4 linked regions of the Pelodiscus sinensis genome follow. The protein of the gene in region 1 interacts with the protein of each later gene in a pairwise test. Links are inferred from orthologs where the notes say so. Each region holds a gene or a part of one and is shown in the gene's direction. Other genes may lie near its edges.

Region 1 (7,975 bases):
GATTTAATCGTAGTCTGTGGTTACGTATTTATGTGGAGAGAAGATTTCTGAGAGCGGAGAGCTCTGATGGACCAGCCAGAAGCATAACAAGATCCGGGGCTGGAAGCTGAAGATAGTCAAATTCAAACCAAAAATAAGTTACAAATAGAACAAAACAAACAACCAAGCCACCACACGGAGAGGGCGATTCAGCATTGGGACGACTGTCCAAGGCATGCGGTAGTTTCTCCATCAATTGAAGTCTTGCCAGGGCTGGTCCTAACCAATTGGCGGCACCGGGTGACTGCCTGGCTCGCCCGTAGGGTTGCCAGATGGTTTAAAAAAAATACTGGACCAAAAAAAAAAAAGGGTCAGGGAGTAACCAGGGAAACCTGGGCGGAGGATTCAGGAGGTCGGGCTGAAATGTGATCGTGGCCCGTCCCTAAAACAAGCTCTGTCGGCAGCCCCTTGAAAATGGTGGCCCTGGGAGACCGCCTAGCTCGCCCGCCTCTAAGACCAGCTCTGCGTCTTGCTACAGGATCCGCTGTGGTTCACCCAGACGTTCTGAGCTTGTCATTGTCTGACTTATTAGGCCATCGTAACAGTCCCTTACGGCTTTCAAATGTACTGACCTAGTTTACATAATCTGTTCTGGGACCCCGGCGGGCTGGCAGAGATTTGGAGCATTTGTGCAATTGTTGGCACCCCACAATAGTGCGGATCATCATCCATTAACCTTCTGCCTGTTTCCAGGGATGCTATTTGGACCCGGGACATGTGGGACCTTCCCTCAGAGAAGCGGGCCCGTTGAATTTGACTCTGTGTTAAATACGTGTTGCTGGGGAAGGCTCAGAGAGCTGCGCTGCCGGCCCTGGAGACCCTGACGTGTGGGAACAGTTTGGCAGGGGCAGGAATAGTGCCCGGTCCCCACGCCCCCTCCTGCCCTGCCCCGCCCCAACCAGAGATCCATTTGGAGCCTGGGTCCCTGAGCCTGCTCCTGCTATTATCCGCCCTCGTCACAAAATCGCATGGGCCCAGATCCACTTCTGTGTCTAAAAGCCTGGTTCAGTCACCGCTGTGACTTACAAAGCCCCGCACTAGGCTGCCCTGAACTGTAGGTGCCCAGCTGGCACCGACCTCTCCGCTCCTGGGCGTGCGCGTTGCTGCCTCCTTTTAAGCAGGTGGCTGTAGCCTAGCTCCTGCCTCAGCGCAAGAGCCATGCCCAAGCTGGGGGAAGACAGGTGGAGGGGCACCCCACTCGCCTGCAGGGCCTGGGCTGGGCAGGGGCACTCAGAGGCCACCTACTGGCCTTGGTCCCATTCAGAATCTGGCCAGTGGAGGGGAAGCAGCACCTACCTTCTAACCGAGCCCACCGGTTAGACCTGGGCTCGGTTCCCCCTCTGCCTCATGGGGAGCCGAACACGATTATCCTACTTGTGCACCTGCAGCCACTGAGCTGGGGGACGTGCGGCGGGGAAGCCGGGTTCCTGCAGGCTCCCTTCCGTGGCCAGGCTCCATCCCTCTCGAGTGCAGACAGCACAGAGGGAGGGATTCGACCCAGGTCCCCCACGTCCCAGGTGAGTGCTAAAACCACTGGGCTAAAAGTTACGCAGAGAGGTCAGCCTGCTCCCCCTCCCCCGCTGCTACAGGAGGAGCAAGGCAGCCGCCTAATTCCAGAATAGGATCCTTCCCAGGCACGTATTGCTAGGAGGCAGGGACGTGACATTATATGCCACGTTCGTCAGGGATCTCATGATGACACGGCCATGGCATCAGTACGATGCATTTTGTGTAAGACAGGTGATGGGAGGTGTCACGGGGGGCTGTGATTCGTTGATTCTGCCTATTCTGTTTGTGTGCATGTGTCACTCCAGTCCCTAGCGTTAGGAACATCGACACTGGGTCTGTATGAAAATTGTGCTCACTCTGGGCGACACCCACAACCAGCCTTTCCGGGGCGGCATTGAAGAAGCCAGACAACGCTGACGGCCCATCAGCAAAGCCAACGGACTCTGGAAGAACCTCACCTTGCTATGACTGTCCCAGACCCTGGTACGTTATGGCTCAGCAAGGTACGCAAGGACTCTGGGCATCCATCTTGGGGTGGCAACGTTTCCCACAAGCTGAGTTTCCAGCAAAGGGTTCCTGCATGTGTCCAAGCGATATAAGGTGGAGAGAGACGTCTGAGGCTGTTCTTTACTCCCACACCAGAGGCCTCCCCAAACCCCTGAGGAACAAAGACTGACCTGGGGGCAGTGTGGGCCCCCAAGCTAACGGGTTTCTAGCCCATGTATGAAAACCTGAGGATTCCAAGCTGCAAAACTAGAGAATCTACAGCCTGGTTCTATCCTCAGCCAGGGCGAGAGTTTGCTAATTCGTATCCTATCGTTCCAGTATCCTAGGCCTGATTTGCGTTTTTACTAAGTGATCTGCTTTGATTTGTTTGCTGTCACTTTTAATCCCTTAAAAGCTTGGGTTTTAATCATTAATACACGTGTTTGATGTGCTAATCCAAACCAGCACATTTGGAGTGAAATGCTGGGAAATCTGAGCTCAGGGGGGCGGTTGCATTTTCTCTCCACATTGGGAGTGGGGGAACTCTATGAGCTGACACGGTACAATTCCCTGTGCGGTGCCACATGGCATCATGTGGGGTCTATACTCCAGTGAGGGGTCCTAAACTGGGAAGTTGTAGCCTCTCTATTGCCGCGCCATGCAGTGACTGGTCAGGGGCCTGCCTGTATTGCAGCTGGGTGTGCCCCTACCCGTGTGACCGCTGGAGGACGTGTAGCACCAGGAGCAGATCTGCAGCTTTTCACAGCAGCACAGTATGAGAAGCAGCTCAGGCTGGTGGGTCAGAGGGCTCAGCAGTACTCCAGCTCCTGGTGGCACCCCAAGGCCAACCTGTCCCAATGGGCACCTACCTGCAGCCCAGCCTAGGTGCCGTACTCCAGGGGAGGGCAAGGTTTAGCACACACCCGTCATTGGCATCTCCCGCTGTCTGGCTGAGGTAGCCCCCTCCCCAGCATACTGGCTTTGGTGGGTCCCATTCGTGGGTGCCTGTTTCTTCCCCATGCACTGAGGCCCTAACTCAGCTTTGTGGATCACCGAATGTTGGTCCTGTGATGGTTTAGGTCCCACGATGCTGACTCAGGCAATGCCAAAGTCCCTTTGTGGATCCAGGCCCTCATTTCTCAGTGGCAAAGTTCCCCCCCACCTAGGGATGCTGTGAGACCAATAGGTCAAGGCGTGCGAGGTGCCCGGATATTCCGGACACAGCAGCCGTGCAGTGAGCTAGAATACGGGACTTGGGGGGAGAAAGACAAAAGACTGAGGGGGAGTAGGGAGAAGGGTGGGGCATGCTGGAGAAGGGGTAGAGAGGGACCAGATGTTAGTACACAGCCGTATCGCTACGCTATAGGTTCTCTGACTGGGGAAAGGCTTAGCATAGGCTGGCTGGAGCTGAGTGGCAGACAAGGGCTGCGCAGCAGGAACGACAGTGAAACCGCCCAGAGCCCTTCTCATAGCCTCCGGGAAACACGAACCAAGCCCCCCAGCATCCAAGCCAGACAGGGAACCATCTGCTGCATGTCGCAGAGCAGGGAACTGGAGCATAGAGCAGCTAAGTGAGACACACACATCCATGGGCACTAGTCCTGGGGCGTATTAAGACAGATCCTAGATCAGTAAATCCCGGTGGCTCTGCTGCAGTCAATGGAGCAGTCACTGAAGATCTGAGCTGGTCAGGGCAGGGTGCTGCGTGAACCCACACCGAGCCACGGTCCCTTCCCTGAGGGCCCCAGATCAGCAGCTCCCAAACTTTTTACGAAGGCAACCCACAAACTGTGTTTTTGTTTTAATCACCCTCATCGCGTGTCACTTCCCCAGAACTGCAGCCCTATTCCTGGCCCAGTCAGAGGGGAGGCCACGGGGTAGCCTGGAGACTGACCTCACCCCACATGCAAGCCACAGCAGCAGCTCCCATCCTGTGGGACTGAGCCCAGGTCCTGTTTCAGATGTAGTACCAGGAAGTGCTAATGCAGGTTGAGCGTGGGCCAGACTCGCTCTTCAACTTACCCCCCCCCCCCCCCACTTCCCTCTACTCTGGGCTGGGATAGTGTATATTTACCTAAATCAGAGCCCAGGGATGGGGTAATCTGGTCTCGACTAGGGATGTTAGATATCGGTTAACTAAATAGTCAATTAACCTCATGAATTCTTATCAGTGACACGGCTAGTAGATAGCCCCCAGGGGCAGCGCCAGCAGCCAGTGCGCTCTGGCCTCACTCCCGAAGACCTCCCTGCCACTCGTGCTGCTGCCTCCACATCAGAGGCAGCAGTGCAGGGAGTCAGGGGGTCCAGGAGGAGAGCTGGTTTAAAAACCAGCTCCCCTCGCGGACTGGCTGCCTGTCGCTTTGTGCTGCTGCCTCTGATAAAGAGGCAGCAGCGTGGGGTGACAGCAGCCCGTCTAGGGGGGTGCCTGATCTCCTGGACCTCACATGAGCATGACCAGCCGGGCCGGGCCGATTCGCTGGTCTACGCAGCGCCGCGCCCCGGGGCGGGGACCTCTGCACGGGGCCCCCCTGCAGCCCCCGCGGGCCGGGCCGGGGCAGGCGCGCACGGAATCTATTAGCGGCCCCGGGGCGCGTGCGGGGGGCGGGGCTGGTCTCCCCTCTGGGGGGCGGGGGTCAGCGCCCCCCCCGTGCACGGGCCTCTCTCAGCCGATCGCTTCCGCTGTTCTTCCCCGCTGCGCCCAGCGCGGAGCCGCCTTTGCACCCGGGCCGGGCGCCCCCCGCCGGCTCGCCCCTGAGCCGCGCCCCCAGCGCGAGGCGGGGCCTGGCTACCACGTGACCGGATCCGGGCGGCTCCCTTTCCCGATTTCACCCGCATTTCCGGCCCTGCTTCCCCTTCCGCGGGGCGGGGCGTAGGCAGCAGAGCCCGCCGCACCCCGAGCCCCGCCTCCCCATGGCGCGTCGGGGCCGCGGCCCCGCCCCTCGCTGTGACGTGCGGCCCGGCCCCGCCCCCGAGCCCGCCGTCACAGCGGCGGCCCCGCCCCCGCGGAGCCCGGATGAGGCAGGCTTCGGAGCCGGGCAGGCAGCGGGGAGATGCTGCCGCCGTGACAGGGCTGCGCGCGGTGAGTGGGGGGCGCGCGGCGCGGGCGGGCTCCGGGCAGGGCGGGCCGGGCACGCGGGGGGGCTGACGGGGAGCCGCCCTGTGGCGGGCCCGGGGCTCGTGAGGGAGCGCGGGGCCCGGGGGCGGGGGGCGCCCGGCGGGGCCGCGGTTCCTGCTCCGCAAAGCGCACGGGATTGGCTGTAAACTGACAACGGGGCAGGTCCCGCCCCCGCCTGCCATTGGCCGGAGCCGGAGCCCTGGCGAGCTGCGATTAGTGACGGGGGCGTCACTCACCGGCGGCCCCCCCGGCACTGCCGGCCCCTCCCCGCGCCTCTGGCCGGCCCCTCGGCTGGCGCGTGGCAGGGGGGCCGAGTCGAGGGCCTAGGGCCCCAGTGCGGGCGGGGCGGTGATCAGCGGGGATGTGGCACCTGAGGGCGCGGGGTCCCCGGGGGGGGGGGGGGTCCTTGGGCTGCCAGGCGCTGAGGGCGCGGGGTCCCCGGGGGGGGGGGGGGTCCTTGGGCTGCCAGGCGCTGAGGGCGCAGGGTCCCGGGGGGGGGGTCCTTGGGCTGCCAGGCGCTGAGGGCGCAGGGTCCCCGGGGGGGGGGTCCTTGGGCTGCCAGGCGCTGAGGGCGCAGGGTCCCCGGGGGGGGGGTCCTTGGGCTGCCAGGCGCTGAGGGCGCGGGGTCCCCGGGGGGGGGGGGTCCTTGGGCTGCCAGGCGCTGAGGGCGCAGGGTCCCCGGGGGGGGGGGGGTCCTTGGGCTGCCAGGCGCTGAGGGCGCGGGGTCCCCGGGGGGGGGGGTCCTTGGGCTGCCAGGCGCTGAGGGCGCAGGGTCCCCGGGGGGGGGGTCCTTGGGCTGCCAGGCGCTGAGGGCGCAGGGTCCCCGGGGGGGGGGGTCCTTGGGCTGCCAGGCGCTGAGGGCGCAGGGTCCCCGGGGGGGGGGTCCTTGGGCTGCCAGGCGCTGAGGGCGCAGGGTCCCCGGGGGGGGGGTCCTTGGGCTGCCAGGCGCTGAGGGCGCGGGGTCCCCGGGGGGGGGTCCTTGGGCTGCCAGGCGCTGAGGGCGCGGGGTCCCCGGGGGGGGGGTCCTTGGGCTGCCAGGCGCTGAGGGCGCAGGGTCCCCGGGGGGGGGGGTCCTTGGGCTGCCAGGCGCTGAGGGCGCAGGGTCCCCGGGGGGGGGGGGGGGGTCCTTGGGCTGCCAGGCGCTGAGGGCGCAGGGTCCCCGGGGGGGGGGGTCCTTGGGCTGCCAGGCGCTGAGGGCGCAGGGTCCCCGGGGGGGGGGGGTCCTTGGGCTGCCAGGCACAGGGACTGCATGATGTTCAGGGCCCACAGAGATGGTGCGGCGGTTGGAGGAGCTGGGGCTGTGCTCACATGACTTCAGCAGTCTGGGCAGCTGAGATGATGCTGACTACAACTGACTGGTGGGTTGGGACAGAGGCTCCTGTCAGCTGTCTGTGAGAGAACCTGCTCTTAGTGGATTTTTCTCAATGGTTATCTTTTGTGATGCTGAATGTGGTTTGTCCCTGCTGGTTAGTCACCTTCATGTCCACTAAACCTATGGTTAAAGCCCACTTTCAGGATTACTTTTTTTGGTGAAGGCAATCCTCAGGGCCTGGAAAGCACTGTTGGGCAGTAGGGTTGGATTGCCTTTCTCTCTCTGTCTTTCTCTTTCTCTCTCTCCTATATATTGCTTGCCAAAAGTGGTAGTCTCACTGCTGTGTATGGAAAAAGGGAAAGGTCTGCAAAATGTTTGCTGTCAGATGGTTGCTAGGATACATAAATATGCTCATGATGTCAAATGCACTTAAGTCCAGTGAGTCATTGAAAATACTATTTCTGTTCCTGCAGAGAAAAGGGCAGGTTTAGGCGTTAACTTGGTCCATTCTTCAGGAGAGACTTTTCACCAGGAGAGGGATGCCCTGAAAAGCTTAAACTAAGTATCCCAAATCTGGTGTGAGGCACGTGAAGGCAGTGGGAACAAGCAGCTCTTTGCTGAAACCCCAAGGAAGGATCCAACTTCACAGCTTCTTCCCACACACACGTTGTGCCGTATTCCAACAGTCATTCGTCCGCCTAGCTAGGGCTCTTGCAGTCTCTGTCACTGCTGTTCCTTATGAGAGATTGCTGGTGATTGAAATTGCCACTTGTCTTCCTCCTCCCCTTCCCTTTGCTGGAGCATGCTGCCTCTGCAGTGCATATTACACTCTGCTAGTCAAGGAATCTTGTGATTTCATACAGGTGAAGAGATTTCTGTGCCCATCTCTGGGCAGAATGTTTGTATGTTGTAGTATGCACTTGTGGTTAGAGTTGTGTGTCTGAAATAGTCAGTTATAATCGATTTCTGATCTCTATTTAATTTGTCCTTGTTCAGTTTAAAACATATAAAATTCCCTTTTTGATTTGTGCAACTATATACTTAAATTGCACTGACATAACTACAATAGATCTGTCACCTTGGTTGTTTCTGATCTGTACACTGTAACTATGCTATTAATATGAACTAGAGGATGGTCCAGTTTGGATAGAATGAAAATTGTGCTTTAAAGGTCCAGTTCACCTGATGGAAACAGATTCTGGAGTAGTCTGGAAAATAGCTCCTGACGATAACAGAAAATCTTCATTGTTGCAAAAGGGGATGTCTTGTGTCCACAGTTACTTCTGTGTTCTCTGTCTCTTGTAAATATTAGCTGCTTAAAGATTGACTTAGACTTGTGGGTAGAAGATCAACAACTCTTTCGCCCCCAATAACACAGTCAGTCACATGTTTCTTGCTACAAAATAGTTAAGAATCCCTGGTGTACTTGGCATAACAAACCATTCTATCTCCAACTTCTCAAGGTTAGAGAAATTGTTCCCTTAATAACTTTTTGGTATTGATATCCATTTGGG
Region 2 (7,797 bases), on another chromosome or scaffold:
GTCAGGGTGTTAAGCACCGGAATAAATTGCCTAGGGACGTTGTGCAATCTCACTTAGGGTACGTCTTGACAACATGCCTCTGTTGCCAGAGGCATGTAGATTAGGCTACCAGGCATAGGAAAAGAAGCGGTGATTATTTAAATCGCCGCTTCAATTGAAATTTACCTGGCTGCCACGCTGTATCCTGGGTGGTCTACAAATGCCTTTGATGTCGACACCCGTGCGTCCAGACTACTGCGCTGAGCTGACAAACAGCTGATCGGCTCAGCGTGGCAGCCAGGTAAATTTAAATTGAAGCGGCGATTTAAATAATCACCACTTCTTTTCCTACGCCTGGTAGCCTAATCTACATGCCTCTGGCGACAGAGGCATGTTGTCTAGACGTATCCTTATTGGGGATTTATGAGCAGGTTAGACAAATACCTGTCAGGGATGGTCTAGATCAGGGTTATTCAATTTTGGAAGCCCCGGGGGCCACAATGATACAGCACAAGCTTAACTTAAGCGTGGCTGCATATACATGCAAACATATATGCAAATAGCTTTTCACACTGACAGGCATGAATATAAAGTTTAAGGCAAGACTACGGAACACATAGGCCCCATTTAAGCCTGTTCTGCTGAAATTAATGAAAATGCAATATTTACCCAATTTCTTCCCATATAACAGCACTTTTAATGAGCAATAACAGTCCAGGAAGTTAACTACTAAAATGCCTATCAACAGAAGACCATTGTATTGACTACTTTTTTGTTTTGGCTCCCACCAACGGGCCACATGTTGAGCCCCGCGTAAACCTAAACTGTACAACAGGCCGTAAACAAAGGGGCGATGGGCTGCAGGTGGCCCATGGGTCATGTGTTGAGTAGCCCTGGTCTAGATGGTACTTGGTCCTGCCATGACTTGACCTCTTGAGGATCCTTCCAGCTCTAGGATTCTGCAGAAACCAAGTTGAAAGGTTTTTAAGGAAATCCCAGCACAAAGGACCGCAAGAGCACTGGCTCCACATTCCTGTGTCAACACCTACCATAGAGAATGTCCTGGCTCTACCCTAGGCTAAGTCTTTGGTGTTGAAGAACCTACAGTACCTGTATAAACCTCAGTAGTGAGAGCACCATAACATTTGGTGGCATCCCTAGGCAACACTAAGCCTCCTTCTCCTCACGGTCATGAAACCACATTCTCCACATCCACAGGAGAGAGTTCTCTACTCAAAGTCCATAGAGAATTTCCCCTGCAGGGCTCACCAGGACTGGCACTGGGTTTGCCCCATCCAAATCCATCTTTGTTGGGGTTCCTGGGGTCCATCATTTTACACACTGAGAAGCTGGTCTCCATCTGACATATGGAAGCAAAGCAGGTCATTGTCCCTGCTGGAGTACCAGGAGGAACTGGAGATAAGGGCACAGCAGGCTTTGTGGCACTGGCTATCTTTTTGTTCTGTGTTTGTACAGTAGCTAGCAGAAGTGGGGCTCTGAGACACTACAATAGTACAAAAACAAACAGCTACCATTCTGTATCATCACCAAAGGAATGTTCATCTTTATCTCCTGTTGCTTTCACTGGAGTTAGCAGTAACTTCAGTTTAAACACAGCTTTGGGTTGGTTTAGACTAAGAGTAAAACAAGCTTATTAACAAAGATGCAAGTTTTAAAAAAAAAGGGTAAAATTAAGGAAAAGGTGATTTCTTACTTCCATCTGAGCCAATTACCTCACCATGTTTCTTCCTAGAGCTACCTTCAAACTGGGAAAGAAGAAACTGTGGATGTGTCCTGAGCTTTTTATGTTGCCTTAATAGCACCAAATCTTCCTGGTTGTCGCCTCACCTCTTTGTAGCTATTTCTACCCATCTAACAGCCAGAGACCATCTTGTCACAGAATCTCCAAGTGAATCACATAGTGGGTCTCCACTTGCTGTCAACTAGTCGGCAAGCCTCTCCCTCCAAACACCAAAGCACGTACCACCCGATTACAGGCAGCATCTTCCTACTGCATCAGGAATGTTCATGTTTCTGATATTTGCAAGGCTTCAGTAGGGAGCCACAACATCTTAAGGAGCCAAGATACCTGTAGGGTAGGTAACCATTCTGTACATTAGTAGAGAGGCAGCTAGCAAGGAGGGTGGTATAAAACAAGGCACAGGGTTAGGAATTGATAAAGCAGACAAAAGGTAGAATGAGAAGAAAAGCACCAACCGGAAAGGAGAGGAGCTGAAAATGATTATTTTATTAAAAGCTTTCAAAAAAACACTTCAGTTGCTTAGTGAGTGTCTTTTTTCTTGTGAAATTCCATATCCCAAATGTAGAGTTCTCTTAAAATGTACATATATTAGTGAAAGAACTAGATTGGCCTGGTTTTCCAGTGACATCATTGAAAAATTGAGGACAAGAGAATTGAGTTACATATTTATGCTGGTGTCCAAAGAGTGCACATCCTGCTGCTTCCCTGCACCTACCCAACAGGTTTTCAACCAACATTCTTAAAGTGGAGGCTCCTTGATGATTAATCATATTATGACTATGGTTTCTTTCATTCACATACAACATGATTAACAGTTGGTAAAGCTGCCATTATCCTGTCCGACCTTTGCTGCTTGCTGTTGTTAGTCTGCCTGTCTCAGCATACAGAATCCAAGCCTGTGGTTGGAAGCAATATCTTGAAGAATTTGTGGGAGTGCTGCTTAATAATAGGTGCTCATCTTCCAGGGCAGAAGACAAGTGGATTTACAGCAAAGTGCTAGAAAAAAATAAGATTAACCCCTGAAAGGCATTTAGAGTGTTTTTACTTAAGTGTCAAGAAGCATGAGGACAGGGAGGCAGAATAGGAAATAACTGGGGGCTGATTAATGAAAACACTTAATCATGTGGCTAACTTTAAGCACCTGCTGGAGTACTTTCCTGAATTGGGACTTGATTCCTTCTAAAAATATCTGGGCATTGTATACTTTCATTTGTAACTAGTGAATCACAAAGAAATGTTATAATTTTCAAGGTTTTTCCAATCTTATAATACTGGTGGAGGGATTTCTAAGCAACTTCTACCTCTTTCTACATTCCAAGTTCCATTACTACACATCCTGTATAATATGCTCCAACCTTTCCTGGAAGATTTACTGCAGAATTCATTATCTACTCCAGATGTATTATTCAGCACTATCAGGAAGAGGGAACAGAGCAGTAGCAATAAGACAGCAGAAAGACATCAGGGTTCTTCCAGGTTAAAATTCATTATCGCTCTTTAGAATAGAGTCCAAACAAATAAATGAACTAGCTATGTTTAGAAACAATTACATATTGTTGAACCTGCTTGTCTAGACAGCAGTTTTTAATCTGGATCAATTTGTTGCACAAAGAATTGATAATGTGTATGTGCTAAATCCTGCAAATGTTCACTTAGACCACAATGGGGGTTTTAGCTAAGGTAGATCAGCCTACATAAGGGCAGCAAGATTTGGTTCTTTTGCTTTAAAAATACTTTTCCGTTGTTGATCTTTAACTTACAGCAATACATTAGGCATGAAAGCCTAGCATAACTGTAGCAACTGGCAAAACTCTCATCCTATTTCCCTAAAGTTGGATTTGAAAATACATCACTCTTTTGCAGTTTTGTCTCAGCTCCAATAACACAATGAAGAAATGTCCAAACATAAATCTTAATCTTTCAAAAGACTTACCTATATGTATAGCATTAATTGCAACAGCATTACTTGTATGCATAAAGCTATGGAGGTCTATAAACCCTTACTCATGTAAGGGCTCCTTGCTCCCGAGTAGTCCCATCACAGGGGTTTTGAACCTTTTGGGGTCTACAGACGAAGATTTCCAAAATGGTCTATACCTCCATCTGAATTTTTTTAGGCATCCGCAAAGGGGGAAAAAAGTTGAATACCACTCCCCTATTGCAATCCATGGAGAGTAAACAAGCATGACTCACGTGAGCAAGTTTTGCAAAGTAGAACCACTCCATTTAACAAGAAACAATTATTTTTTGGGGGGGAGGAAAAAAAGGACCAATCTCCATTATGCGGCAGGCTAACCACTCCAGCTTCTGTTTGGAAACAAACACCTGTTTGCCGACTTCAGCTCCAGGGCGTGAATCCAGCATACCTGGACTAACTCCAGAAGACTTCCTCCAGCAGCCATGTCTGAATTTCCCACCGTGTAACCCAGGCTCCTGGGCTGGCAGCTAGCGTCTTAAATACAGAACTCGGCCGTGTGTTTAAATTAGGCTCACGTGCCTGGCTAGTGCTAGGTGTGCCGTATTAGCTGGAAAATAAATCACATAGCCCGTGCCGAGCTAAAAAGGGGGGCAGGGCGGTGAACCCGTTAGCTACACTCCAGGCATAAACAAGACTTCTCAGCACTTAGCGAACGGGAACGCACCGGAGCGGGACTGAAGCCCTGGCGGGGCGCCTCGCTGCTAAGGCGGCTTACGGGACACAGGTCACCTCTCTGCTGACTCGGAGCCCGGCGACGGGAAGTTGCCTAAATCCTTGACAATCCCTCGCTCAACCTGCGCGGGCGGCTTGTGTGTGGCTGCAGCGTCCCGCCCTCCGCAGGGCCTGGGAAGGCGGAGTGGGCCTGGGAGCTGCAGCCCAGGGAGGTGGCAACACACACAGACGCGCTTGGAAGCGCCTCCCCTGGTCCCTCCCTTCTCCTCGCCCTCCCCGCGCACACACACAGCCGGCTGCCAATCCGTCCTCGGCTCGCTCACCCAGCGACAACATGCCTGCTTGGGAAGCGGCGGCGCCGGCAGGGGAGCAGTGCTGGCTCCCGGAGGATTATTAGCTCTGAACCAAGGGGTGGGGGGGTGGTGGTAGGGGGGAAGCCAGCACGCGGAGGACTGGGGGGGGTGCAAGGCAGAGACTCACCCTGCCACCCCCTTCTCCCAAAGAGAAACCAAGCTCTTAGTGCACTGGAGGAGCCCAGAGAGCAGCAGCCCAGCCAGGTAGTAAATATCCTTCATGCCCCGCTCACGCCTCTGCCTTTGCGGTTTGCTCTGCTCCATGCCCAGGGGCTGGGATTAGCCTGGCAGGTTACCCACACGGTGCAGGAGGAGACGGGGGAGCCAGCCCAGGCCTTGGTGCTGCTGCTGGCTGTTTGGGGAGGGAGAGAGGGGGCCTGTCTCTCCCCGGGATGGGAGGGTTGCGGTTGCATTTTGGAAGGGGGAGTTTCCTGAGGGTGTTGCGTCCGCGCCCCCTCCCGGGTGGTGAATGCAGAGAGGGATGGGAGGCAGGGAAGCGGGACATTGCTCCTCTCCGCTTCGGCTCCTGCAGGTAGATCCGGGGCCGGGCAGGCAGGCAGCAAGGCCAGCTGATTGGGAGGGGGAGGAGGGCAGCTGAGCCGGCCGGGGCCCGGGGCATGGCTGCACCAAGCGGCGCAGGAGGAGGTAGATCTGCGTTGCCTCTTCGCGCTGATCCCGGGGATCGAGCGTGCTTCGCGCCGCAAATCGGCAGCCGCGGCTGGGATTAGGCAAGAGGACAAGTCGCTTTGTGGAGGTTCAAGGACTCTTGTGGGTTGGCAGCGAGTGAGAAGACGCAGGCGGTGCTGGCAGCCCGCACTCTCAGATAGGCAGCTCCCCGCTTTGCTGCACCTAAAGGGGACCCGGGCCGCCTGCACCCGGTGGAGGCAGCTTGCACAGTGTGGGGGCCTGGACCTGCCAACAATGCCACATGTCACCTTTTCTTTTCCCCTGGGACTCTGCTCCCTCAGCCAGCGGTTCGCAAGCGCCTGGCAGGCAGCTCTTCTCTTCCCTAGCTGTCCGCAAGAGGGGGGCAGCCAGGCCAGGTGGCGTTTGTGGAGGGGCCGTGAGGAGGAGGAGGGAGATGGTGACATTACTAGGAATTGTTTATTTTGTGCTGGCAAAGAGCTCTCCGCTGCACAAGACCTCACGGTTCCTCATGGCTCTGACCTGAAGTGTGAGAGACCCAGAATAGGCAAGAGGTGCTGGGAAACCCAGAAGACACGGCTTTTCCTCTGGCGCTGTCAGAACTCCTCTTGCTGGCAGTGGAGTTATTCCTGACTCTTCCCCATTGTGTGAATGAGATGAGAGAAAGGCTCTAAGTTTGGCTTTTTCTGTCTTTTTTTAATTTTTAATATTTATTCAGCTGGGGGTTCCAGGAAGAAGGGGTTTGTTAGGAGAGATTTGAATGAGGAGGTTGTGGTGGCATTGGATGATGATATGTGGCATATCTAGCTGGCCAGTCTTTGAGTCATGAACTGAAGGATGCTACCCATCCCTTACTGAATTGCACAAGGTAACTCCGAGTGGAAGAAATGGGATGTTTATAATTACTCAATGGGCTTGTGAAACTCTCAAGCTTTCCCTTAGTATATCCTTATGTTCCTTTTTTCTTATCTGGAAGGGCGGTCCTCAGGTTGGTGCGCTCCTTGGCTTTCCCTGAGGAAAGGTTCTAGGAGTTGTCTCACTGAGGAGTTGAGAATAATTTTCCTTTATGGTGGAGAAGAGACGCTCTTGAGAGATCAGTCATGTACACTTTACAGCTCTCTCCCTCCCTTCAGCTTGTCCCTGAAAAACACAGCGGAGAAACTTAAAAACACAACAAATAGTCTGGTAGCACTTTGAAGACTAACAAAACATGTAGATGGTATCATGAGCTTTTCTGAAGTGGGATGTGCCCATGAAAGCTCATGATACCATCTACATGTTTTGTTAGTCTTTAAAGTGCTACCAAACTATTCCTTTTTAAAAAAAAATTTATCCTGTACAGACTAACTCAGCTATCCCCTGAAGCTTCTGCACAGTGGAGAAAATAATCACTTTTGTCCACCAATTCCCCTATTCGACATTTTCACAGCTGAAATGTCAGGAAGAGAAACTTAAAAATCTTTCCTTGAAGCCAAATCTGTGCCAGACATGTTTTTCTTTTTGGTTTATTATTGCACTTGAAGTGTTAAAAATCTCCTGAGGCAGTAGGGGAAAAACTAGGAAGGTTTACTATCTGCTTCTCACAGTTCCTCTTGTTCATACTTACAAGGGGAGGGGAAAGGAACATGTTGCAAAATCAGTTAAAGATTATGTAAAAGTGAAAAATTATATAAAAGTGAAACCTGAAAATATTTAGATAGCAAAGACATTTCACCTAGTTGTTTGGAAGCTTTATATTCTCTTTTTAACTCCTTATGGTATATGTAACTGTGACTATGCAGCAAAACACAATTAAAATTGAAGTGTCAGGATTTGTAATTATGTACATAGGAGTATGCTAGTGAGGATAATAGTGCATATGTATTTCTTGTGTAGGAGTTGCTTTTACTCTTGTTATTGAATCATACTATCGTATGGAAACCAGTAGCCTGACAAACTTTAAAAAAAAATATTTTTAAGACATCTAAATGACAAGGGATTTGATTAAATTCTGAGTTATACACCAGAGGAAGGCCTCAGGTAGTGAAATGGCCTTCCAGAGGGACTGCTGTGTTACTACAAGGTGGCTGTGGCAATTCTCACTCTGTGCTAGGTGCACAAGTAGTTAGTACAGTTCCAAAAGTAGTTAGCACTGCCAGGGAAGTAGTGAGGACATGGGCACTCTAGCCTGTTCCCACTGAAGACAGTAGGAATTTGAAAAAGCTTCACTGGTTTGAATGAGAGTAGGACTGAATGTGTGCTCACTCATGCAGTTCAGCTTGGGCACCATTCCCATTCAAATCAGTGGGAAACCTGTGTGAGTAAGTGCCCTGCAGGATGGAATCCCCATCTGGCTCACAAAGCACCTGCATAAGGCCCTCTTATGGTAGGACTGTGTAGAGTGTCAGAGGACCTGAATTTCCCTGCAT
Region 3 (6,879 bases), on another chromosome or scaffold:
CCCACCCCCATCTACCTCCTACTTTATCTGCCTGCCTGGACTCTGCCCTTCCCCATCCTCCTGTCCCACCACAACCTGCCCCCACCCCATCTGCCCCTGGGGTCCTCCCCGCATGCCATTGGTCTCCTTGTCTAGTGGCTTGCACCTTATGGCCCCATTTCCTGTCCCCTCACTTCATCTGCCTCAGGATCTGCTCCCAGCTCCCTCTTTTCCTGGGTCCCGCCCCCAATCCTAGCCCCCTGCCACGCTATCTGCCTGTCTCTCTGCATCCTGAACCCCAGCCCATGTCCAGACTCCAGTCCACCTGTACTATCCCTGCATTGTTCCACCTTAGTATTGCATGTCCCTAGCTTCGGGGACCTTCCCCAGCTCTTCCTGCACCCTAGGGTCCCTTTGACACCCAGGGGGGTTCACTTGGGATTGGGGGGCAGAGCTCAATTAGGTCACGGGATGATGGAGCCGCGTGTCAGCGCCAGTACATGGTGCTTTTGGGGATAGATCCCCAATGCAGGGCCGCAGGTTCCTGACAGTAGGGAACCCAGAGGAGCCTCTCCGAGATTTGCTGCAAACGGTGGAGGGATGGGGGGGAGGGGGAGAGTCCCAAAGAAAAAGTGTCCAAAAGCCTTTATGAGGCCAAAGGCAGGCAGCCAAACTACAGGGATCGCTTCACCCAGCGCCGGGGAAGAGAGGGGCTAGTAATCAGAACTGCTTTGCTGTGTGTTAGGAATCATTTCAAAAGGGATGGAGAATAGGACAGAAAATATCTTATTACCTCTGTATCAATCCATGGTGCGCCCACATCTTGAATACTGCCTACAGGTGTGGTTGCCTCGTCTCAAAAAAGATCTCTTGGCATTGGAAAAAGTTCAGAAAAGGGCAACAAAAATGATGAGGGGTTTGGAATGGGTCCCGTATGAACAAAGACTGGGGCTTTTCAGCTTAGAAAAGAGGAGATTAAGGGGAGATATGATCGAGGTTTATGAAATCATGACTGGTGTGGAGAAAGCGAATAAGGAAAAGTTATTTACTTGCTCACATAGCATAAGAACGAGGGGTCACCAAATGAAATGAATAGGCAGCAGGTTTAAAACAAACGAAAGGAAGTCTTTCTTCACTCAGCACACAGTCAACTTGTGGAACTCCTTGCCAGAGGATGCTGTGAAGACCAGGATTTTAACAGAGTTTAAAACAGGGCTAGATACGTTCATGGTGGTTAGGTCCATCAATGGCTATTAGCCAGGATGAACTGGAATGGTGGCCCTAGCCTCTGGTTGCCAGAGGCTGGAAATGGGTGACAGGAGATGGATCACTTGATGATTCCCTGTTCTGTTCACTTCCTCTCGGGCACCTAGCACTGGCTGCTGTCAGAAAATAGGATATAGGACCTTTGGTCTGACGCAGTACGGTCATTCTTATGTGTCACATGCCCCGTACTGACACATCCCCACTGCTCTCTCTGTGCTCAGCACCTCAGTGACCTCCGTGTACCCCTCCATCACTTCTTTCCCCAGTACTGCCCGTTTCCCTTGTTCTGACCCTAACCCTGCACCAGCATTTTCCCCACCTCCCCAGGGCTCTTCTCATCCCCGTGTGCAGCTTCCCCCAGTCTCTGTGTCCCTCTCCCTCCGGAGACCCTGCTTCTAGCCCTAGTTCATTAGTTCTCTCTCTCCTGCTTTGGGCACCTCCTCTCTGGAAGGGGGAGCGGGAGGTGGCGGAGGAACTGCTGGCCTAGTGCAGGTGAACAGGGCCCGGGGGAAGCAGCCTGACTTGACTCTCTTGCCCCCAGTGAATTGTTATCAGTCCCGGTAACACGCTCGCCCAGCCTGCTATGGGTGCGCCCCACATAGTGCTGATGAGCCCATAGGGGCAGCCCTGGGCAAAGGGGGCAGGAGAGACACAGATGGCCCATGCCTGCCCAGTTTGCTCCCTCCTCATCTCCTCCAGCCAACACCGGTGTGGGAACAAGGAGGCTGGGGGTGCTGCAGCACTCACATGATTGACGTGGGGTCTTGGCTGCTGCCCCACGCCCAGGGTAGCCCCCCCTTGGCCCTTTTACCTCTGTCTGACTTCCCTTTCCCAGAGGCACAGCTCTGCTCCCAGCCCCAGCTCTGGAGCGGGGCTGGACAGAGATAGGGGGGCTGGCTTTCAGCACCCCCACTATTAAAAATATCCCAGCACCATTGACAGCCGAACCACCTGCAGCCCCCCCCCCCCCCCGGATGCCTACCCCAGCGCTGGTGGGCCAGCCTAGTTAGAAGAGGCCAGTTGAACTGGAGGAAAACATCCTGGGGCTGCCCCATTCCTAGACGTAAGGCCAGAAGGACTCATTGGGTCGTCTTGTGTGGCCTCAGGCAGAGCGAACCGTCTTCCATCGCTTTGTTCCTCAGGGCGACCCCCGTCCTTTACCGGGAGCCGTACTGAATAGGGATATTAAAGGGTGGGTATTTAACTAACCGAGTAGTCGATCGACTTTTTATCGACTAGTCGATAGGCAGCCTGGCTCCGTCCCAGCCTTGGGGTCAAACCCCGCTGTCGTTCTGCAATTGAAAATGCAGTAGGTGCCCGGGGGCGGGCTGCCTGGCTCCTATTGCCTTTTAAATTGCAAAGCCACAGTGGGGTTTGGTCCCACACCCAGCGTGAGCTGGGACTGAGCCAGGCTGCCTGCCCAGCCAGCAGCAGCCTCTGTCTGGGGGGGGTCCCAGTGAGGAGTTGGGACCCTCCGCAGACAGGGGCTGCTTCACGGCAGCAACGGGGGAGGGGAGAAAGGACAGGCGGCACTGTGGAGACGATGCTGGAGGGAGCCAGCTTATAAGGCTCCCCCCAGCACTAGCTCCCACTTTCCCTGCCCCTTGCTGCTTCAGATACAGAGGCAGCAAAGGGGCGGGGGGTATGCGAGTAGTCAGCTTGATGACCAGATACACACAGGCTCATCGGGTAATCGACTGCTCCCTTAATATCCCTAGTACTGAAATGTGTTCACACCAGGAAACCCTAAACTTTCAAACCCCAAACTGAAGTTCCTGCTAATTGGGTTCCATGGGGGGGGGGGGGAGAGATGAGAGAGAAATCCATGAGGGGGTAATCCATGGGTTCCCTAAAGTCTGAGCCCTTGGGCTCCCCGCGCCTTTCCCTTATTTCCATCCACCCTACTTGGGAGGCCACTGGCTGGACTCTAGGACTGTCCCTCCAGGGCAGGGAAGCAACATTAGAGGGTGTTTCATAGCTGGACGGGGAGGGGGGCACAACCCCGTTAGGACTTGAGTCTGGTCCCATCCACACCCCAAGCCCCTGGAGCTGCCTGGTGCTTTGCACTGGAGTTGGCTGGCCCAGCAGGGGGAACAGGCTACGGCTGGAGTCAGTTCACACAACGTGTCAGCCTCGGGGCAGGCCTCTCCAGACTCTGGGCTGGGGGTGGAGTCGCTCTCCCGAGCTAGGTGCAGGCCCAGCGTGTAGGTTTGAGCGCAGCACTGCAGAGCACCTTGTGTTACCGTCGCACCATGGTACCCCCAGGAGGAGGACTTGGGGCATTTATTCCTCCCGGGCAATGGGGGAGGAGACCGATTCTGCAACCTGCCTGATTAGCGTGCAACGTGCAAGGGATGAGTGAGCCGAAGTGCATTTGCTCGCCCTGTATTTGGAAAACCTGGACGGAATGTCACTGCCTCTCCCCACGGCTCCCTCGCCTGTCCACTTGGCTGACCCAAGCCAGCGCCCCGGCCCAGAGCTCCCACTGCAGAGGGGGCGTGGGGCGGCCGCGGGGAGGGAGGAATCCGGGACGCCCGGCTGGGCTCCCACGCGCTTCGCTCCACTCCCCGCCCCGAGCCCCAGCGGAGCAAGGCTGCGCCCTCCAGCTCCCCACGGCCCAGGGTGGCGGCCGCCCTGCCCAGCGCCGCCCAAGTTTGCTTCCAGCGCGCTGAGCCTCAAACGCTTTTCCCCCTTCCCTGCTTTTTTGGGATCAGCCCACAAGTGACGGGCTGCCCGGCTCTCCGGTGACGCAGTGTCTGGGGCTCTTTGAATCCTCCGCAGACAGGCAGAAACCCACTTTCCTGTGTCCTCCGCCGCCTTTCCGCCCCCCTCGCCCCAGCCCCTCCAGCGCCCTCCCCTCCGGAGCAAGAGGAGGGCAGCGGGAGAGCGCAATTAGCCAGCGCAAGGAGCTCTGCGAGGAGCGAGAGAGGGGGGAGGGGGGATCCAGCCTCCATCCAAAAAAACCCTTCAGCAAACCTCTCCCCGGGCATGAAACTCCCGGCGCTCGCCTGCTCTCCATGGCCACTGCTGCTGCCCTGCGCTTTCTTCTGCGTCCTCAGCCTCGCCCCGGGGCTCGGCGCCGCCCGCTCAGGTAGAGTTGGCGAAAGTTTTTCAAACTCCTACGCGCGGCGGGGGGAGGGGGGCCGGGTTCTTTGTGCCTCGGCGGCTCCAGGTCGAGTCCCCCCCCCCCCTTCCCCAGTTTTTTGAAAGCCAAGAGGAGAAGGAGCCGGCGGCGGGGAGCGCTGGGCTCTGCGGGGAAGGGCGGGCGCGCTGAGTGAAACCAGATGTGGAGGGCGCCCGGGCATGGCTAGAAGGGGGGGTGGGGGGAACGGGAACGAAGCAGCCGCGCGGCGCATTAAAACCACGAGCCCCCACCCCAGACAAATGCCCATCCTCGCAGGGTAGCGCCTCGCTGCTCCTGCGCCCCCCGCGACCGCACACCAGGGCCCCGCGAGGCGCGGCGCGCAGAGTTCTCCAGCGGGCAGAGTGGCTCGGCCAGTCCCCTCTCTGGGGCGCCTGGGGCCCCTCTGCCGTGTGGGTGACAGTGATTTGGCACGTGCCACTCGCTGGCCAGGCATCAGGACCTCGCTGGACCTAGGGAGCCCATCATGCCCTGGCGGACTCCGCCTGCCTAGGCGGCTTGGGGCTTATGCCTTGGATTCACAGTTCTTCTCCAAGTTGGCCCAAGTCCACCCAAGAGGGTGGGCAACTCCTGGTTTGTACCAGGCAGAAAGACTGGGGAAAAACGTGGCTTTTCCAGCTCATATTTTAAAGACACAAGCTCTGAAATGCAACAAGTCGGCAGAGGCTGAGGAATTGCCAGGGACGTGGGGGGAGCAGCGAGAGGGGCCGGGGGCGGTTTGGGGCAAAGAGATCCCCAGGTCAGAGTGGATGGGAGTCAGAGCCGCTCTGGGACTGGAACCCTTCTGTCTCCTGAACGGGAGATGCTTTGTTCTGAAAGGAGTTGATACCTTTAGGCCCCAGTTCAACCAGTCACCCCCATTCAGCCAAGTACACTAGTGCAGACTCAGGCTCCCTTGGGTAGCTCTGCAGCACTGGGGCCTTGCTGGAGACTTGGAGGCTGTGATGTTTGTTGTAATTTCTCATGATAAAATGATTATTGTTTATCTTGGTAAAGACATGACCGGCCAGATGGCCTGCGGCGTTCAAGGCCTCCCATGGAATAGCCATTTCCACTGTTTGGTGACTGAGGATGTGACTATTTATGTGAGCGTGATTGATGTCCATTTAGTTGCTTACTTTAATTTGGCTTTATTAAAAAATAATAGGGCTTATTGGTCTAAACCAGCAGTTCTCAAACTTTTTGGGCTCCGGAGCCGTTTACATGCGTAAAAATGTATGTGGAGCCCCAGGGGTCCACTGATTGTGTGTGTTGTACCTATCGATGGTTCCAGTTTGTCAGCCTCGCAGAGCTCCTGGAGATGTCTCACGCAGCCCTGGGGCTCCACGGAGCACAGTTTGAGAAACACTGGTCTAAACAAACGTAAGCCTTTAATTTAATGTATTGGAGTGCACTCGGGAATAGGGATGTAAAAGGTTACCTGGTAAGCATTAGCCTTACCAGCTTGCTTATCTGGTAACCAGTTAACCAGAGGGCTGGACCCAGCCAGAGCAACCCCCCCAACTATGGAACCCCAGCCCTCCCTGGTTAATCATATTGTTTAACTGGTTAACTTTTAATAGCATACTTGGGGCGACGAGGAATAAGGGATCTTTCGGAAAAGGCTTTATTTTCCGAAAGATCCGCGTCTAGACTGGTGCTTTTTTCCGGCAAAGCTCCGAGTTAGAAAAAAGCGGCAGCCATTTTTATGCAAATGAAGTGGGGGGGATTTAAATCCCTGCTTCATTTGCAATTGCTATGTGTCTTAATTTGCATCCCTTTTATGGAAAAGGGATGCAGTCTAGACACAGCCTAGGTGACTTGCCTAAGGACATACAGGAAGTCTGTGGCAGAGCCAGGAACGGAACTCAGTTCCCCACTTTGACCCCACGTGGGCAGTGGGTGAACCTAGGGCTGGGGGAGATGCCTTCTGCTGAGATGCCCTGCCCCCCTCCCCACACCTGAGCACTTGTGGCCTATGCCCCCGCTCCCTCCGGAACACAGGCGGCCCCAGGGGAGGCTGGCAGTGCAGAGCTGAAGCCCAGGCAGGAGGCTGAAGGATCTGTGCTGAATGGGAGGTGGCTGGGGGCAGGGCCAGCCAGGGAGTTGCCTGCCCCTGCCTATGATACCTGCCGTCTATGTGTAACCAAAAGACCAAGCCTACACTAAGTAGGGCCCAGAAGGCCGCCCTGTGTAAAGCCGGTCACCCGGTGCTGCTCTTCACATTGATCTTAATGCTGATGGCTGAAATTGGGGTGGCCAGAGATGTCCTTGTGCTCCAGTGCACCTTTAGCTGCAGCTGTGAGGAAGGGGGAAGGGCTGTGTGCGGCGCTGTATGGAGGGCTGGGTTTATAGGGAGGGCTTTGGCTCAGGGCAAGAGCCCGATTGCATGAATTTCTCCAACTATCTGTGGTGTTTGCAAAACTGCTTTGAGTTCCCAAACCTCCCTCCCCATCACTGAAACCCTAGTGATCTAGGGCAAGAAAAATTAAATGGGAAGGCAACCCCGCCCC
Region 4 (7,578 bases), on another chromosome or scaffold:
AGCCCAGGAGTAAATGGAGGACTGCAATGGTACTGGTGCCTAAACCAGGTGGAGTGGTCAGGTTCTGTGTGGACTTCAAGAAGGTGAATGCCGTCTCACAACTTGATGAACACCGCGTGCCTCATCTAGATGAGCTGCTGGAGTGGTTGGGCCACACAAAGTTCATGTCTACCTTTGATCTAGCCAAAGGCTACAGGCAGATCCCTTTAACGCCAGCATCAAAGGAGAAAATGGTGTTTCCAACACCCTTTGAGCTGTTTCAGTTTACCACAATGTCCTTTGGCTTGCATGGGGCAACAGCCACTTTCCAGCAGCTTATGAACAAAGTACTGGGTCCCCACAATACATGTGCAGCTGCCTACATTGATGTCATTGTGGTCTACAGTAACAGTTGAGCAGAACACATGCAACACCTAAGCCAAGTTCTGAAGCCTTGGCAGAGGCAGGCCTTACTGCAAATCTGGCCAAATACCACTGGGGCCAACACGAGGTAAAGTATCTGGGTGACACTGTCAGCAGAGGACAACTCCAGCCAGTGATAGATAATGTGCAAGTGCTGCGAGTCTACCCCACTCCAACCACAAAGAGGCAAGTGCGGCAGTTCTTAGGGATAATAGGATATTACCAGTGCTTTATACCAAATTTTGCCACCCTAGCTACCCTTCTTACGGACCTCAAGAAGAAGCCCCAGTCTCATCACATTGAGTGGTCAGAGGACTGTGAAGTCGTCTTCAAGACCTTGTCTGAGCAGATGATCTGGGAACTGGTGCTCATCCAGCCAGACTTCAACAGCCTGTTTAATCTACAGACAGACACCTCAGAGACAGGTCTAGGAACAGTATTATCACAAGAGGCAGGAGGGGAAGAACACCCCATTTTGTATCTGAGCCATAAACTGTTCCCATGAGAGGCACATTACTCCACAATAGAAAAGGAGGCTTTTGTGGTGAAATGGGCAGCAGAGATCCTGAGGTATTATCTTTTAGGGAGCTGATTCATGTTGGTTATAGATGACACACTGTTAAAATGGTTCCACACCATGAAAGACACCAATGTCAGAATCTTGCGCTGGTACCTGTCACTCCTTTAGGCATTTCAGGTTGCTCACCAGACTGGAAAAGTCCATGCTAATGCCGACTTATTTTCATGGGCCGGGGAGTTTGGGGAAGAGGTGCCCCCCCAAGAACACCACTTACGGGAGAGAGTATGTGATGGGGTGTACCAGTCCTGCACTGGGAAAGCTGGTCTTAACCAGTCTCACCTGGCTGAGGAAGCCCTGACCCTGTAGCCCTGCTGGGGATGCTTAGATTGCCACCTAGGTATTAAAAACCTGGAGAGATGCTCAGTCTGGGCTGGCTGCTGAGGAGGAAGGAGGCATTGTCTGAGCTCCTGCAGGAGAACTACCAGAGGGACCAGCTCTGGAAACCAGCCAGCAAAACACCAAAACCACAAAAGAGGGTATGAAGGAAGGCCAGCAGAGACTGGTAGGAAGTAGCCCAGGGCGGGATATTGTTGCCTGTGGCTCTCTGCGTGTTGCGGTGGGATTCCCCACTGCGAGAACAGTGGACCATGCCACTGCTAACAGGGCCTTGGGCTGAGACCCAGTGGAGTAGGGGGGTCCTGGGTCCCCCTACCACTTCCTGAATCCCCGAGCTGGAGGGATCCAGCACCTATTTATTACTGACTCTGGATGCTAGGCTGCACTGTCTTAATGAGAGGGGAATTTACTAGAAACTCAGGCCATTAGGCCGTGCTGCCCTGATGAAAGGGGTGTTTACTAGAGACTCCAACTGCCAGGCAGCACTGTCCTGGTTGGAGGATTGTTTACTGTAGACTCCAGCTGCTAAACCACACTCTCTGGGTGAGAGGGGGATTTACTACTGACTCTGACCACTAGGCTGCACTGCCCTAGTGAGAGGGATGTTTACTAGAGACTCCAGCCATTAAGTCGTGCTGCCCCAGTGAGAGGGGCATTTCCTAGAGACTCCAGCCATGGAGCCACACTGCTCTGGGAAAGGGTCGAGTGTATTACTGATATTTTTTGAAGAGCTGCATTGCAAATGTTATTTAAGCAGACTCTGAGTACCCACTGTCTTCACATCAAGTCACTGCTTGTGAGTCACCAAGAGATATGAATAAGCACTAGAGGATGAAAGAAAAAAAATATTTACCTTAAAACAATCAGAGTTCTTTGTGATGTGATGTCCATATGTATTCTACAGCCTGCTCTCCATCCTTGTTGCCATAGAATTCTTTCATATCTGGATTATGCAGTAGCACAGGAGGTGAATAGTGATTAAGCTTGCTCTAGTCTGTGTACACTTGGCATGGGAGCACAACCACCAAGTGGACACTGCTGGCCAAAAGATTCCAATCTCAAGTTCATGGGATACATGTGCACCAAGAATAGACTACATATGGACAACACTTGTTGAAGAATTTCAGGTACTAGAATAGGGGTGAGCAATAATTTTTGCCTGGGGGCCACTTCAAAAATTTCTGAAGTAGTCCCAGGCCACCCAGGAAGGGGTAGGGCCTAAACAGAAAGGGGCAGGGCCTAAATGGGAAGGTGCAGGGCTACCCTACTCCCAGACCATGATTGATCTGCGGGTGGGGAGAGCCCCTTTGCCACCCTTCCCACTAGGCACCCATGCTCTAGAAGAGGCTTGGCATGCTCTCCCACCCCCAGGCCAATCAGGACCTGGGGGCAGGATAGCGCAGGAAGTCTCCTCCTGCCCTGCGAGGTGCCACAGGCTCCTCGCAGGGCCAGGGCAGAGTGAAGGAAGCTTCACGCCGCTCCCCTGCTCCCAGGCCCAGATTGGCTGGGGAGCGCACAAAGCCTCCTCCGCTCTTCCCGCCACTTGGCGGGCCAGATCCAGCCTGTGGAGGCCCTTTTGCCCACCCCTGTACTAGAAGGTACATTTTCTTAATCATGATGAAAGGTGCTGAAGGCATGAATAAGAGTTTCAGAAAGGTTTGTGGGCAATGTCTTAGGGATTAGAAGCAGAATTATAGCGTTGAGCAATAAAAGAGGCACAAGAAAGTTGTCAATTTTGGGATGAAGTAAAAACATAAGGTTTGAATTGAACAAGAAGATAGACATGGTGAAGTTTCACTTATAATTTATTTTTTTTAGGGCTAGGTCCCCCCTAAACAATAATAAAGAATAGTACCTTGTACCACAGATAAGCTCACTGATTTCAACTGTCACTGTGAGACAAAATGGCTAAATCTGGCCTTAATGAGTAAATTAACAGTTTTGGATATATTGTGTGGCTAAGGTGGAATGAGTAGCTGATGAGGTTGAGAATGACAGAGCGAGGAAAGCTTTTCAACAAGTGGCCCTATGTTTCACATTATTATCTGATTACCTGGACATATGCTTTTCATCTTCAAGGCATTTTACAAATAGTACATAGTTATTCCTCAGAATACCCCTTTCAGAGAATTGTGTAAATGTTATCTTCATATCACAGATAGTGAAACTGTGGTAGAGAAATCACCTGACAACTGAACCAATGTCAGACTGGGAACTAGAAATGAATATATCCCGGCTTCCTGTCCCATTCCCAAACTACAACTCCATGCATTCCATCAAGCCCAAAGGCTCCTCACAGCTGCAAAAAGCAGAATGTGAAAGCACCTGCAAGAACATACAGAGTTTCAAATATTTGTTTCAGAAACCTGACATTTCAACATCATGTTATATAGCAGTATACAGAAAACCCCAGTTTTGTTACTTGACTTTGCACTTTTTATAGATACCTACCATTGCAATGTGCCTCATTGCTTTTAAATTTGATATGAGAACAATGCAGATTGATGACACAAATAGAGAGGATAGCAAAGCAAAGCACCCAGGGACAATCAGTGAAATCCACTTGGAGGCTTAAGTGCCCATATTCAGACATGCACACACATGCCTATTCAGGACCATGGTACACTCAGAAATGGAACTTGAAACAGCATTCTGTATGCTCTTAAGCACTGTCATATTGTAAGCAAAAATATTGTTTAAAAACCAATAGGTACTACAGTCACTGCATTAATTGTCAACCTTACATATTTCTTTGAACTGAAATTCAACAGGAGCCAACCATTCTGTGGTGGACTTCATTTGCCTGACTGTATGTTCATACACAACCAGTGGGTTTTTGTCTTGGTTTGAATCTGCCTGGAAGGAAAAAATGTTCATTGTGATCTGAATCTAGGAAGGAAAGCTGTGGTGAATGATCCATATAGTAAGGACAAGTACAAGCATTAGAGGTGTCTGTGTGTGTCTGTGTGTAAAAGCCAGTCACGTGAGATGCTAAGAACTCGGTAGGAGAATATACTATAGGGCACAATCCTGTATTGGCTGGGAGGAGTGGATTAGATGATTTAAGAGAGATGGAAAGAATGGGGAAGAAGAAAGTCCCCTGATCATGTAAAGATAAAGCTCCCACGAAATGCACAACACACACCCACACAGCAGCCTCCCTCCCCTTTCCTTTTCCCATTTAATATCCACATCCCAGTTTTCCTGCCTCCCTCAGGAAGTCCTGACTGCCAGAATAACCCAGTCTGGTTGGAAGGATCATTAGGAAAACAACAATAGCTGGTGTGATACTAGCTCGAGCGGCTGCCGCTGCTGTAAGGAATTGAACTGTCATCTATGTAAATACAGCTCTGTTGGAGTCACATGTGCAGCAAGGGGCATTGTTGGCAAAGAAGAGAGGAGGAGGAGGGGAGGGGGAAGAGAGCAGAGCAGGTCTGAACAATAGAGAGAGGAGGGGGGTTGGCAGAAAGCCTGCTTTTGCTGGAGGTGTTGGGGGGAGGACTCCAAACCCCACACGACTGGCAGGCAGTGGGAGCAGCTGCTGCTAAGCCCAGGGAGCAGCAGCCGCAGCAGAGCTCATCAGACACCATGGAAGGGATGATCCCGGTGGTGCACGGCTGGGCTAGCTGCTGAAAGCGCCTCCAACCCTCCTCCCTCTCTCTCCCCCTTTGCTTCTCCTCCTCCCTAACTCACTGGATATTAGCAGCAGCTGGGCTCGCCTCTTCTTCCCCCAGCCATGAATCCCGCAGAAGGGGCAGCGGAGGAAGGTGCTGTTCCCGATTCCGAGGTGGATGCTTTTTTCCGAACAGGTAAGGCAGGAATGGGGAAGGGGAGATGGAGGAGGGAAGGGGCTGCCACCGCCTGTCTGGCCGAGAATGGGATGCGAGAAAGGGATTGTTTTGCGTTGGCACCATCCTGGAGTGGATGGCCGCAGGGAACTCGCTGTCTTGCTTTGTTTGGGGGCATGGACAGGGTTGGGGTCCGCTGGGTGAAGGATTCTGATTCTCCCCTCTTCTTGTTTATATTTTGTTCATTGTCTATTTCCCCTCTGCTCCCCCTCCCCCTTCTAAGCCTTGGTGCCAGAGTGACATACACTAAAAGGAGAAGCCCCTTCTCTGGGCAAAGGCGCTTTGTGTTAGGGTTGTTTTCAAAAGCACTTAGCGAATTGACTGGGGATTGGAAAGTGGTGGCTGTCAGTTTCAGAAGAGAACCAGATTTATTTCCCCCCTCTTCTTGTTTCGTTTCCATTTGTTCCCTGGCTTGCTAGAAAATGATGCTGCTCTTCGCTTGTTACACAGGAATGGGGCGATCTTAGATCACTTTTTAAATGCAAGAGGGAAGGGATTACACATCCTCCCAGTTCTTGCATGTTACAAGATCTTAACATTGCAGGAAATGTAACCTTACTCTCTCCCTTCCTCTTCGGAGATTGGAAACACACAAAAGCCTCTCTAAGACGTTTGTTGGTAGCTTGTGAGAACTCCTCACACAAAAAGACATGGCATTTGGTCTTAAACATGCTTTCAAATTGAGTTATAGGTAGGGATCTGTTGATGGAGCTAGAGCTCCAATTTTAACCATCCTTAGGCATATTGCCATAGTGTATAACTGCTTCCTGGATCCTGCCACTGTCAGGTTGGAGAATAAGGGGGGAAAGGTCAGTAAATAATAATCACAATTAATTATTTTGAAGAGGAGTTACTTTCATCCCTCCTTCAGTCTAGTAAATTTGTACTTTCACTTGAAAACTATAAATATATTATATGTGCAAGTTCTGTCATACCCTTCCATCTCAAACCACCTTTGCAATCCTTTAAAAAGGCTTTGTTAATCCAGTGCCATCAGTCATAGATAATGTGGCAGGGTACTGGACATTAGGGATGCTAGAAGTCAACACAGGTCATTACTGATGGGAAAACTGGTGAGCATATTTGCCTGGGTATCTCATTCCTACTGAAGTAGACTTTCGTTAGAAGGATTCAAGAACACATCCAATTGTGTATCAATGAGTAGTGTGAGAAATAAATGTCCTCCAGTTTTAGGGGACAATACTATTACATAGTATAAGATGAAATGTGACTCTGCTTCAGGCCATATTCTTTAAGAAATGTGTCTACACTACAAACCCACATAGGGTATTATGAGTTCGGTGTGCCTTATCTTTGAAACATAATTTTATGTAGGATCAAAGCCCCAGGTGAAATAATTTATGGAATTCATTTTAATCCCCTAGGTGGAACTTTAAGAAAGTATTACATACTACTTGTTGGATTTTTAATTAAAATTGCAAAGGATTAAATGCTCACTCATAAGGGTATTGACCCTGGTAGTCTGGATTTGACACTTACTGCCACAGCTGTTTGTCAGGGCTTTGCTTTTCAGCTGCCTTCTTCCTTCTACCTGATCATTGGTTATACAGATGGTTTCAGGCTCCAGTTACAACAAATCTTATAATCACCAAAACTTTAAAGGAGTTCATTCCTGCAGATCTGCTACAACTGTGTGGACTGAACCATGTTTATGTGAAAATGCTTTGATCTGGAGGATAACTATAATAAGGTCTGACTTTGCATATCTTGTGATCCATTAAGCCAATGAATATTTGCCTCCTGATACTCTGCACGGCTACAAGTAAAGCATTATAGATTTCCCATACCCCAGTGGTGTAAATGTTCTTGGGCTATTGAAGTTTTGGAGAATGCACTTTAAAAATTAGCAATTTTTCTTTTTAAAAATGTATGTTGCTTCAGGACTCTCCCCCTTAAAAGCTTAAATCATTGCATAATGACACTCAATTTCCAGCATAAGAAAAGATGATAAAATTGAATTCAGAGGGACTGTTCACATTTGTGCGCAGATTATAAAAGAAATCAGGCTAAATAAGAAAAGAACAAACACTCAGAGTCCCATGATCAAACATTTTCCTGTTCTGTGTCCTCCTCCTGAAATTTCATGCCTAAGGAATAATGAATATAACTTTGTTAGGTATCCTGTGCATTTAATTTAAAGGGTTTCTGGAGGTTTTTTGGCATTACATTTTATTCAAGGAAGTGAATAGTTTGCATCTGAATGATTCTATACCATCATGTGTCCTCTCATAACTATGATACTGGTTCATGTCTGTGAATTAGTAAACAATTTTTCTTTTAAACAGTATCAGTATTTTGTGCATATCAGGTATGTTTTAAAATGAATATAAATAACACAGATAAACTGAAATCCAGGCATCTGATGGTAGGCCTGACCTTAATGAAACTGAC

What was found.
Region 2: the proteins of NDEL1 (region 1) and CCSER1 interact in binary tests that used the Homo sapiens proteins (3 or more experiments, as listed by UniProt). The link is inferred for Pelodiscus sinensis from reciprocal best matches to the Homo sapiens genes NDEL1 and CCSER1.
Region 3: the proteins of NDEL1 (region 1) and MRC2 interact in a two-hybrid assay, tested with the Homo sapiens proteins (2 studies listed by BioGRID and IntAct). The link is inferred for Pelodiscus sinensis from reciprocal best matches to the Homo sapiens genes NDEL1 and MRC2.
Region 4: the proteins of NDEL1 (region 1) and KALRN interact in a two-hybrid assay, tested with the Homo sapiens proteins (2 studies listed by BioGRID and IntAct). The link is inferred for Pelodiscus sinensis from reciprocal best matches to the Homo sapiens genes NDEL1 and KALRN.

The regions. Positions count from the first base shown.
Region 1 is NC_134730.1:1,648,968-1,656,942, forward strand, and holds the start of NDEL1 (nuclear distribution protein nudE-like 1), read left to right. Parts: upstream 1-4,965; 5' UTR 4,966-5,047; coding exon 5,048-5,113; intron 5,114-6,357; exon of another isoform or gene 6,358-6,507; intron 6,508-7,975. UniProt on the Homo sapiens protein: Required for organization of the cellular microtubule array and microtubule anchoring at the centrosome. May regulate microtubule organization at least in part by targeting the microtubule severing protein KATNA1 to the centrosome.
Region 2 is NC_134715.1:16,265,652-16,273,448, forward strand, and holds the start of CCSER1 (serine-rich coiled-coil domain-containing protein 1), read left to right. Parts: upstream 1-4,793; 5' UTR 4,794-4,948; intron 4,949-5,219; exon of another isoform or gene 5,220-5,276; intron 5,277-7,797.
Region 3 is NC_134739.1:5,204,496-5,211,374, forward strand, and holds the start of MRC2 (C-type mannose receptor 2), read left to right. Parts: upstream 1-3,874; 5' UTR 3,875-4,233; coding exon 4,234-4,336; intron 4,337-6,879. UniProt on the Homo sapiens protein: May play a role as endocytotic lectin receptor displaying calcium-dependent lectin activity. Internalizes glycosylated ligands from the extracellular space for release in an endosomal compartment via clathrin-mediated endocytosis.
Region 4 is NC_134717.1:10,318,275-10,325,852, forward strand, and holds the start of KALRN (kalirin), read left to right. Parts: upstream 1-4,575; 5' UTR 4,576-5,054; coding exon 5,055-5,127; intron 5,128-7,578. UniProt on the Homo sapiens protein: Promotes the exchange of GDP by GTP. Activates specific Rho GTPase family members, thereby inducing various signaling mechanisms that regulate neuronal shape, growth, and plasticity, through their effects on the actin cytoskeleton.